Nothobranchius furzeri: one gene and its partner. The protein of the gene in region 1 purifies or fractionates together with the protein of each later gene. This does not show direct contact. Links are inferred from orthologs where the notes say so. Each region holds a gene or a part of one and is shown on either strand. Other genes may lie near its edges.

Region 1 (4,208 bases):
TTATTCAATGTTTCTCTTCTTTAATACGCAATAGAAGTTATGCTATTCATGGATAAAAAATCGTGATAAAATCGAAATTGTGATAAAATATTGGAAAAATCGTGAAATTCTATTTTTGCCATATCGCCCAGCCCTAGTCCAGGTAAAACAGAAGACAAGACACTATACCTCTTTTGACCAAAACCCCCAGGTCTTCTGTAATCTTCCTCTTCTTTCCCTGGGTTCTCTCTTTATCTGGAACATTCTTTTTGCTTTGCTGCTTTATCTTCTGATCTTTGACGTGAGAGTGAAATGCACAATGCGTCTTCAGTAATAATTTATCAGAAGGACTCAGAATCTCAGCGATAGTAGCTGGCAGGGAGATGCCAGTGAGGTATGGCATGGGTTGGGCCTGGGACACATCCCTGAGGAGTTCCAGGACATTCGGGTACAGTTTGGCGAGCCCAACCAGGATACCACGGAAAATCACCCTGGTAAGGCACAGAAAAGGAGAACTTCAACAGTTTTTACATTTTAAGATACTGGTTTCAAACTGGTTTCAGTGGTTCTTAAGCCAGTACCTTTAGCAACTTCACATTGGACATAACTCTGTAGGCCTCCACTGACCAGAAACTGCTATCAGTTCGCCAATAAAAAGCCCAAAAAAGATCTAAACATAGAGGTAAAACCAGAGTGAACCTCGGCACAGCCTACACTCATCTGAGGGAGTTAAACGAAGCTACAAAATTTCAGACTGATGGTGACCTGGATTTGTTGCTACTGCACGTGTAAATTTAAAAAATAAACATTTTTTTTTCCCAATGGTGTGGACCTTTTTACTTTGTGGATCATTTGGTATCAGTTGGCTCTTGTTCATCATTAGCGCTAGCTACAGCAGTGTTGTAAACAAGAGCCCCATTCCCACCTGTACCGGGTCGGCCCGGGCCGGGTAGCCCCAGTCGGCCCCAGCCTGGCCCGGTTGATTCCACACATCATTGCCTTAAGCCCATGTGGGCTGCTTCTACCCACCAATCAGAGGCTTGCTCTAATGGAAGGTGTGAATTTGCTGTCAGCAGTGGGCGTGTTGGCCCTGGTCGGCCTGAAGCAGTACCCCTTGGGAAGAGGGCCGAGAATGAGCCTTGGTTGGCCCGGGAAAATTCCAGGCCACCCAGATATGTAAACAACCTACGCTACCCGGCCCGGGCCGACCCGGTACAGGTGGGAATGGGGCTTAATGGACCATTCCCACCTGTACCGGGTCGGCCCGGGCCGGGTAGCGTAGGTTGTTTACATATCTGGGTGGCCTGGTATTTTACCGGGCCAACCAAGGCTCATTCTCAGCCCTCTTCTCTCGAGGGGTTCTGCTTCAGGCCGACCAGGGCTAACACACCCACTGCTGACAGCAAATTCACACCTTCCATTAGAGCAAGCCTCTGATTGGTGGGAAGAATCAGTCCACATGGGCTTAAGACAAGGATGTGTGGAATCAACCGGGCCAGGCTGGGGCCGACCCGGTACAGATGGGAATGGCCCATAATCTAACACGAGGCACTGCTCCGAAAATGATCAGTAAAAATGGCTTTTTCTGGAGTTACATTTGCTCCAGCCTCTATTTTGCAGTTTCTCAAAGTTTCTCTTACCACAAACGACTGAGCATGCTGGTGATCACCAAACACAATAACACAAACTCCTCCAGTTTCATTTGCTGCCTCGTGAGTCTGAAACAAAAATGTGTTAAGGATAAACCCCCCCCCCAGCAATAAAGTGATCAGAAAAAGACTAAACCCTAACTAAGACGCCAGCAGTCAAAAACGACATGACACCGATACTTTTATGATGCACACAGATAACACAATCCTCTAAAACAGGATACATAAAGGCTCTTTTGCAGCGGGTCAAGGTGCAGCTTAGGAGTTTGCTGGCTCCCAGGACTTTGAGGCAGGTCCACTCCAGCGTGGGCTGACTTGGAACATTGCACTCACCGCTCTTGGTGCACAGTGTCCTAAAAATGCACACAAATTAACATTAGTTTGAAAAAAGCTGTGTAAGGTTGCGCTTTAGATATTTTAAAACTTGATTTGACCTATCCTGTTTCATCAACTATAAAGGAAGAGCCTTGGGTTGTTTGCTTCTTACATTTGAATCTTAGTTGGACACAAATTTGCAAGATCCTCAAGAGCTGCATCAAGCTTCATGTTCTTCAGTCTGTTTACACATTGTTCAACCTGTGGGAGAAGTCAGACATGACAAATACATCTAAAGAAGTCCACATCAAAACAGTTATTCTGCAGCTTTGGTGCTGACCTGTTGTAACCCCTTGAACGTCTTGTTGCCTCTCATGCTGTTGTTTAGAACGTACAGCAGCTCGTACAGAACTCTGATTTCCGTCCAAAGAATATTGCTGCGGAGAAGCTTCAGGACTTGGCTGTTTTCCCGCTGCAGGGTTTTGAAAACCTCAGCTAGAAACACACACACACACACACACACACACACACACACACGAGTGTCACCATCGAAGCACACGACGCAAAACCCCTGCGCGCACACGTGAGGGCTGAGATCGGCGCGGTTTTTACGCGTTGAAACGAGCGCGAGACATCAGACAATATAAGTAAAACACGTAATTATTTTAAAGTTAAAAAGCCAAACCTGTTGTTGATGTGAGACGTATGTGGACGCTTGATGTCGCACTGGGAAAGGGAATGTTTACCCTGTTCCATGGTTCCGCAGCCATGCTTTCTGCATTCCATGTACGGAAGCCGATTAGCCAATAGTGTTCGAGTGTGTGACGTCAACATTGGATTTAAAGGTACAGAAACAAGTTTGACACTTGAAATCGAAAATTGAAAATAATAAAACTAATAGATAAATAAGACATTTGCTTATTCTTCTATATTTTTTAAATTGTTACAGAAACAATTTACCATTTTTAAAAATCAAAGTATTTCTAAGACATTTTGAAGTGAAATTCAACATATTTTGAATATTTAAAATCTACAGAAAAAAGGATATTTTTGATAATGTATTTATACACTATGTGGTAAAATTGGAAACATTTATTAAATATTGAATAAATATTTTTAAATAATTTTACAAGTTTGCCATCCCCACGTGCTTGAGCTACTTATTTTTTTTAATGTTGCAATATTTGCAACTCTGCTCTTGCAATGTGCACACATTTAGAAAATGAATTAACGTGAATACTTTGCTTGCATAATAAAGTTTTAACACCCAGTAAAAACTGTACCAACAGATTTGTTGTAATAAAAACAATGTGTTTTATTTAACAAATGCAAGAAAATGAAACAAACTAATAACAAGATGACTCCAGTGATTCACTTAAACTCAATTTTCTTTATCCAGTTGATAACTTTCAGGTTGATCTCATCCATCACAGAATCCTCAGACCTTCCTTTCACTTTCAGTCCATGGCTGCCTCCTGCTATCCATAAAACTTCAGCCTGAGCTTTTATATCTTTCAGTACTCCACTGAAAAGCTCCTAAAAAAGATAAGTAAATACAATGACTGAAATATAATTGTGAAAGTTGAAATGGATAAAATAATACATGATGTCACTAAATTATAGATTTTAGGATATAATGAACATAAAATTAAACAAATAAAAAACTGAATAAGTGAACTTAAAAGGTACCAGGATGAAGGCCCGGTACATATTTCACCCTCACCCTGTCACACATGTTGTCCTCAGTGCCAGACACAAACAGCACATGAAGGCACTCAGGCAGCATCCGGAGATCTTCGCTCCGCTGGTGATGGATATGCCTCTGTCCTGGAGGATGCAGGGGGAAAGAGAGACAGATGACTCCCTGCACTGCTGCTTCCTTCGACTCCTCACTCAGCTGCCTGGCCAGTGCTGCTGCAGCACGACATCCCAATGACCTGCCTGTCAACATACAGAAAAAAATTTTAAAATATATATTTGTTTTATTTTTAATACTCGTTTCTGTTTCATATGTAATTAAGTTTTAGAATATGGCAACTGATCATTTCCTTGGCTTTTACCTCCAACAAACGTGTGTTTTATTGTATACTTCTGATATGATTTCAAGTAGTCCTAGAGCAAAAACACAGCAACGTGTGAATACACACTAGAATTTATTAACATAATTTTATAAAAAATGGAAAACCCTTACCCACACTGCACAATACGCCTTAACTCTATAACTCAGATTTAAGCCTTTACACGTAAAACGAAGGCAGATGAAAC
Region 2 (4,262 bases), on another chromosome or scaffold:
CTTGTACAGTGCTGTGAAGGAAAGGGATTGCTACTGAACAGAATAAAAAGAAATTGTTTTATTTTAACAAATATGTTGTAATAAGTCAGGATGTTAGGGACAACTGAAGTTTTCCCATTTAAAGCAGCTGATCAGTCATGATTAGGGTTGCCAACCGTCCCTTGAAAAACGGAATCGTCCCGTATTTAGAAACAAAAGTGCACGTCCCGTATTGAACTCAAAAGGGACGCACTTTGTCCCGTAATATAGTATGGATCAAAATTAGTCTGTAGTCTATTACCGGAATTAACGCTTTGTTTGAAAGCCAGCCCTTCGCCTGCTCTGTGACTAATGAACTGACCGCATGCTTACACACGAATATGACGATAAGATTACCGCTTATTTCATTGGTCGAGGAACGGTCGCTTGGGGAGAAGATACCGGAAGAAAACAGACGACAGCAAACAGCACGGCCAACCGGGAAACTAACGCCGACACTGCTGTACAAGTCTCGGACGACAGTACCCCTCCGAGAAAGAAGAAAAAAGGCTTCAAAAATACAGGGAGGAATGGGAAAAGGAAAATTCCTGGCTGGAAAAACTGCGCGAGAACACCTATAAAGCGCACTGCACCGTGTACCGGCGCAGTTTTTCCAAAGGGCATGGTGGACTCACTGACCTCAAGCAACATGCGTCTAGTAGTAGCCACATGAAAAACATAAAGGACGTGAAATTACGGGGAACCCTCGATCCATTTGTCGTCCACAAGGCCATGGCAGAAGCAGATATGGTAAGTAAACATTGCTTTTTTAAACCCTCTGGTTAAAGTGAAGGTATTTATATGAAGAAAAAAAAACCCACTGTGTTGGGGCTTGTTTACCATTATTTTTATTATTTTTGTTGTCTGTTTCTGTTTTGTCATTAGTTTTTCTATTTTTTTTTTTTAACTTGGGTGTTTAGTTTCGATGTAGCCTTGTCTTGGTTTATATGTTGTTTGGATAATTTTAAACTAAAAGGATGGATAAATACATAATAAATAAAGTGAACTATTGTATTGTATAAAAGCTATACAATGCAATAAATATACAATAAATGTTTTCCATTTATTTACCACTGTAAGTGTTCTATGTGGTGCTTATAACCCAGGTTTACTTCTTATCTCCATTGGCAGGTTAAACATCTCTATGGATGAGCTTTATGACGAGTGTGTCACTGCAGCCAGCCTTCTGGAGCACCTCACCAAAGGACCTCAGGAGAAGGAAAAGTGGCAGTCCAAGGGAACAGCAGAGAAGTGTATAGAAATTCTTCAGGCAGCTGACCTCTCCAACATCCAGCCTGTTGTATCGTTTGTACTCAGCATCCCATCTTCCACTGGATTGGCAGAGAGGATTTTCTCTCTCATGAAGAATAAGTGGACTGATGTGCGGAACAAATGTTCTACTGAAATAATTAGATGTGAGCTCATTGTCACTCTAAATTGTGACATGTCTTGCTCAGAGTTTTACTCTGCAGTACTGAAAGACAAACAACTCCTAAATGCAGCAAGATCTCAAAAGAAATACAAATGGCGAAAATAGTCTGTTTTCACATAATGTAGCATTGAGTTTTTGAGTTCATGAGTTTGGACTTTTTTTTTTTTACTTCAACCATAGGCTACAGTCAAGGCCTTTGAGGCACAAATATGTTTACAGCTTCTCCACAGACTTTCTGTTTGCACTTTTCTAATTGCACTCAATGTGCAGTTACAGCGTTGCTCTTTCTGTTGTTTTCTATTAATTTATACAATTTTAAGTTAAGCAGAACAGAGTTGTTTTAAAGAGAGCTATTTATATTCTAAAAAGTAAAGCATAACAGGCTACCGTTTAAGAAAGAGACCTACTTTTTTTTGTCATTTTGCACAAAAAGTTGAGCATAACAGTTTTCTGTTTAAGAAAAATACCTTTGTTACTTATAATAATTTTGTAATTTCACGCCATAAATAAATGGCTAAATGATCATTTGTTTCCCATGTTTTCATATCACAAAGAATATGCATCTTCTTAAACCAACTTCAAGTCAAATAGTAAAAAAAAAAAATCCTTTCACACCCACACACAAAAAAAGAGCAAAAAAATCACCACGCTGGGAAGGGTGGCCTGGAGCGCCCTGCCCGCGAGGTGTCCCTTATTTATTTTTCAGGGAGTTGGCAACCCTAGTCATGATTAAACACATTTCCAACCTTTTGAGTTTTTAAACAGATATAAAATTCAGTTCTGAGCGCAAACCAAACTCCACACAAAAATAGCATTTTTACCCAGATGTGATGACGTCGCTGAACTTGGTTTTAAACGAAGGTTTAAAATACAATTCTGCGTCTTTTTAAGTGTTCGGCATGCTTATGACATCATCACACGCAGAAATGATACACAATATAATTTAACTTCGCGTTCAATGCGGTGTTAGCCTTTAGCACACTAGCTAGACAGCTAACTTCAAACAACAACCACTCCAACTAACCACATGTGCCAACAAGGCTGTTCAAACTCTGACCTGAAAACACCTCAGATGATAATAAACCTCACCGCAGGAAGCTGCTTCACCCGGACTCACCTAAAGCTAACCGTTCAGTAAACAAGTGTTTTTAAAATGGTCATAAATAAGACAAACGCAGGTCATAAGGGGTAACACAAGATAAAAACCTTAGGTGGTCCGCTGCAGCATGAAAACACTATCTTCTTACCTTTACTTCTTTCCTTTTACTACTGAACACTGCTCCGAGTCCGCATGTTTACCACAACAGGTTACGTTACCGTAAAACCACAAAAACTGTCGTAAACTCACGAGACACTTGTAGTTTTTTAAAGTACCGCGAATCATACGTTTCAGAAAAACAATAAAATTCCTATGAAAACCATGGAAAACAAGCCCAGATGCTCCATCACAGCAAGGACTATTTTGTTACACTGTCTAAGCAAATAAGACTGCAGAACTCATAATTAATTAAGAGTTTTTATTGTGATGTTTCAAAGCAAACTGAACACAGCTGTTGTTTCTCTCTTAACACGTCAGGTGACAAACGGAAGCTCCAGGGACATTTCAGTAAATTTCAGCATGCCTCAAAATGTACTCACAATGTAACAATACATTGATCTACTTTGACACATCCATCATGGCCATCGATCCAAAAAGCAAAAATCAATTGGTAAAGAATGTATGCAAATTCATTTTTATTTTGAAAATTATTCTATTTTGAAGTTCCATTGAGACAAAAATTTCCACCTGTTCCTGCACATCACCAAACCAGGGGCGGTTCTAGACCAAATTTTCCAGGGGGGCCACTGTGGGGCCAGTATTTTTTCATGGGGGCACAAGAAAAAAAATCATATTAAAAGACAATGAACAAGTAAACTATTACGGCGAATGCAGTAATGGCTTACTTGTGAAAGTAAAACTGGCATGTTTTTATGGTACTCAGATAACAATTCTGAATGCTTCACCGCAACATGAGACTTGAGTAAAAAACAATTCTAGTCAATTATTATAGTTTGTGACTTTATTTGAAGATTATATGAACTGTACATATGAAAAATAAACATTCAAACAAATAAAATATCTGCACAATACAATCTGCTTTTTGTAGTCAACACACACACACACACACACACACACACACACACACACACACACACACACACACACACACACACACACACACACACACACACACACACACATAAGCAAAATCACTTCACCAATTGTTTTGATAAACTCACGATTTTCTTTAACCTTTTTACTGAGTTCCTTGTCGAGTATATTAGCCAATGTTGTATTAGCTTTCACAGCCCTCTGGTAGTCCCTCCACGCTATCATTGAATCCTTATGCCTTTCAGACTTTGCGTGTACTGAAAACCCCCCTCCTCTCTCAGTTGCTTTTTTCCAGTTCCTAAATCCACATGGTGAGTCAAACACACTTCCTGCGCTACTTGGTGGGCTAAAATGTCTGCATGCATGACAATAAGTAGAGTCCATAGTAACAGAATATTCAACCCAATTGGATGACTTTCATACCAGCTTGGCTGAAAGCTGCATCTTCTGTCTCCTATTAATGTCACTGGAAATGTTCTCAAATGAGGCTGAGTAGGTGGGTCATCCTTGCACTTGCTGATATCTGAAAGAAAATAAATGTTAGCATGAGGATAAAAGTCATAATTAGTTAACTCTGAGTCTTATTTTATCTATTTATTAAATATAAACAACAGAAATTTTGGTCCAGAGTCAGCATGCCTCAAATGCATTTTACACACA

Evidence for each region.
Region 2: the proteins of nepro (region 1) and rpp25l purify together in Homo sapiens (affinity purification with mass spectrometry; 3 studies listed by BioGRID and IntAct, with this or other methods). This does not show direct contact. The link is inferred for Nothobranchius furzeri from reciprocal best matches to the Homo sapiens genes RMP64 and RPP25L.

The regions. Positions count from the first base shown.
Region 1 is NC_091754.1:12,629,401-12,633,608, reverse strand, and holds the start of nepro (nucleolus and neural progenitor protein), read right to left. Parts: upstream 2,802-4,208; 5' UTR 2,714-2,801; coding exon 2,629-2,713; intron 2,439-2,628; coding exon 2,284-2,438; intron 2,205-2,283; coding exon 2,116-2,204; intron 1,982-2,115; coding exon 1,853-1,981; intron 1,698-1,852; coding exon 1,620-1,697; intron 471-1,619; coding exon 169-470; intron 1-168. Other genes in the region: tex30 (testis-expressed protein 30), read right to left, coding at 3,315-3,479, 3,667-3,884, 4,004-4,055, 4,135-4,208. UniProt on the Homo sapiens protein: May play a role in cortex development as part of the Notch signaling pathway. Downstream of Notch may repress the expression of proneural genes and inhibit neuronal differentiation thereby maintaining neural progenitors.
Region 2 is NC_091745.1:59,630,810-59,635,071, forward strand, and holds the start of rpp25l (ribonuclease P protein subunit p25-like protein), read right to left. Parts: upstream 2,801-4,262; 5' UTR 2,698-2,800; intron 2,681-2,697; exon of another isoform or gene 2,657-2,680; intron 1-2,656. UniProt on the Homo sapiens protein: May be a component of ribonuclease P or MRP.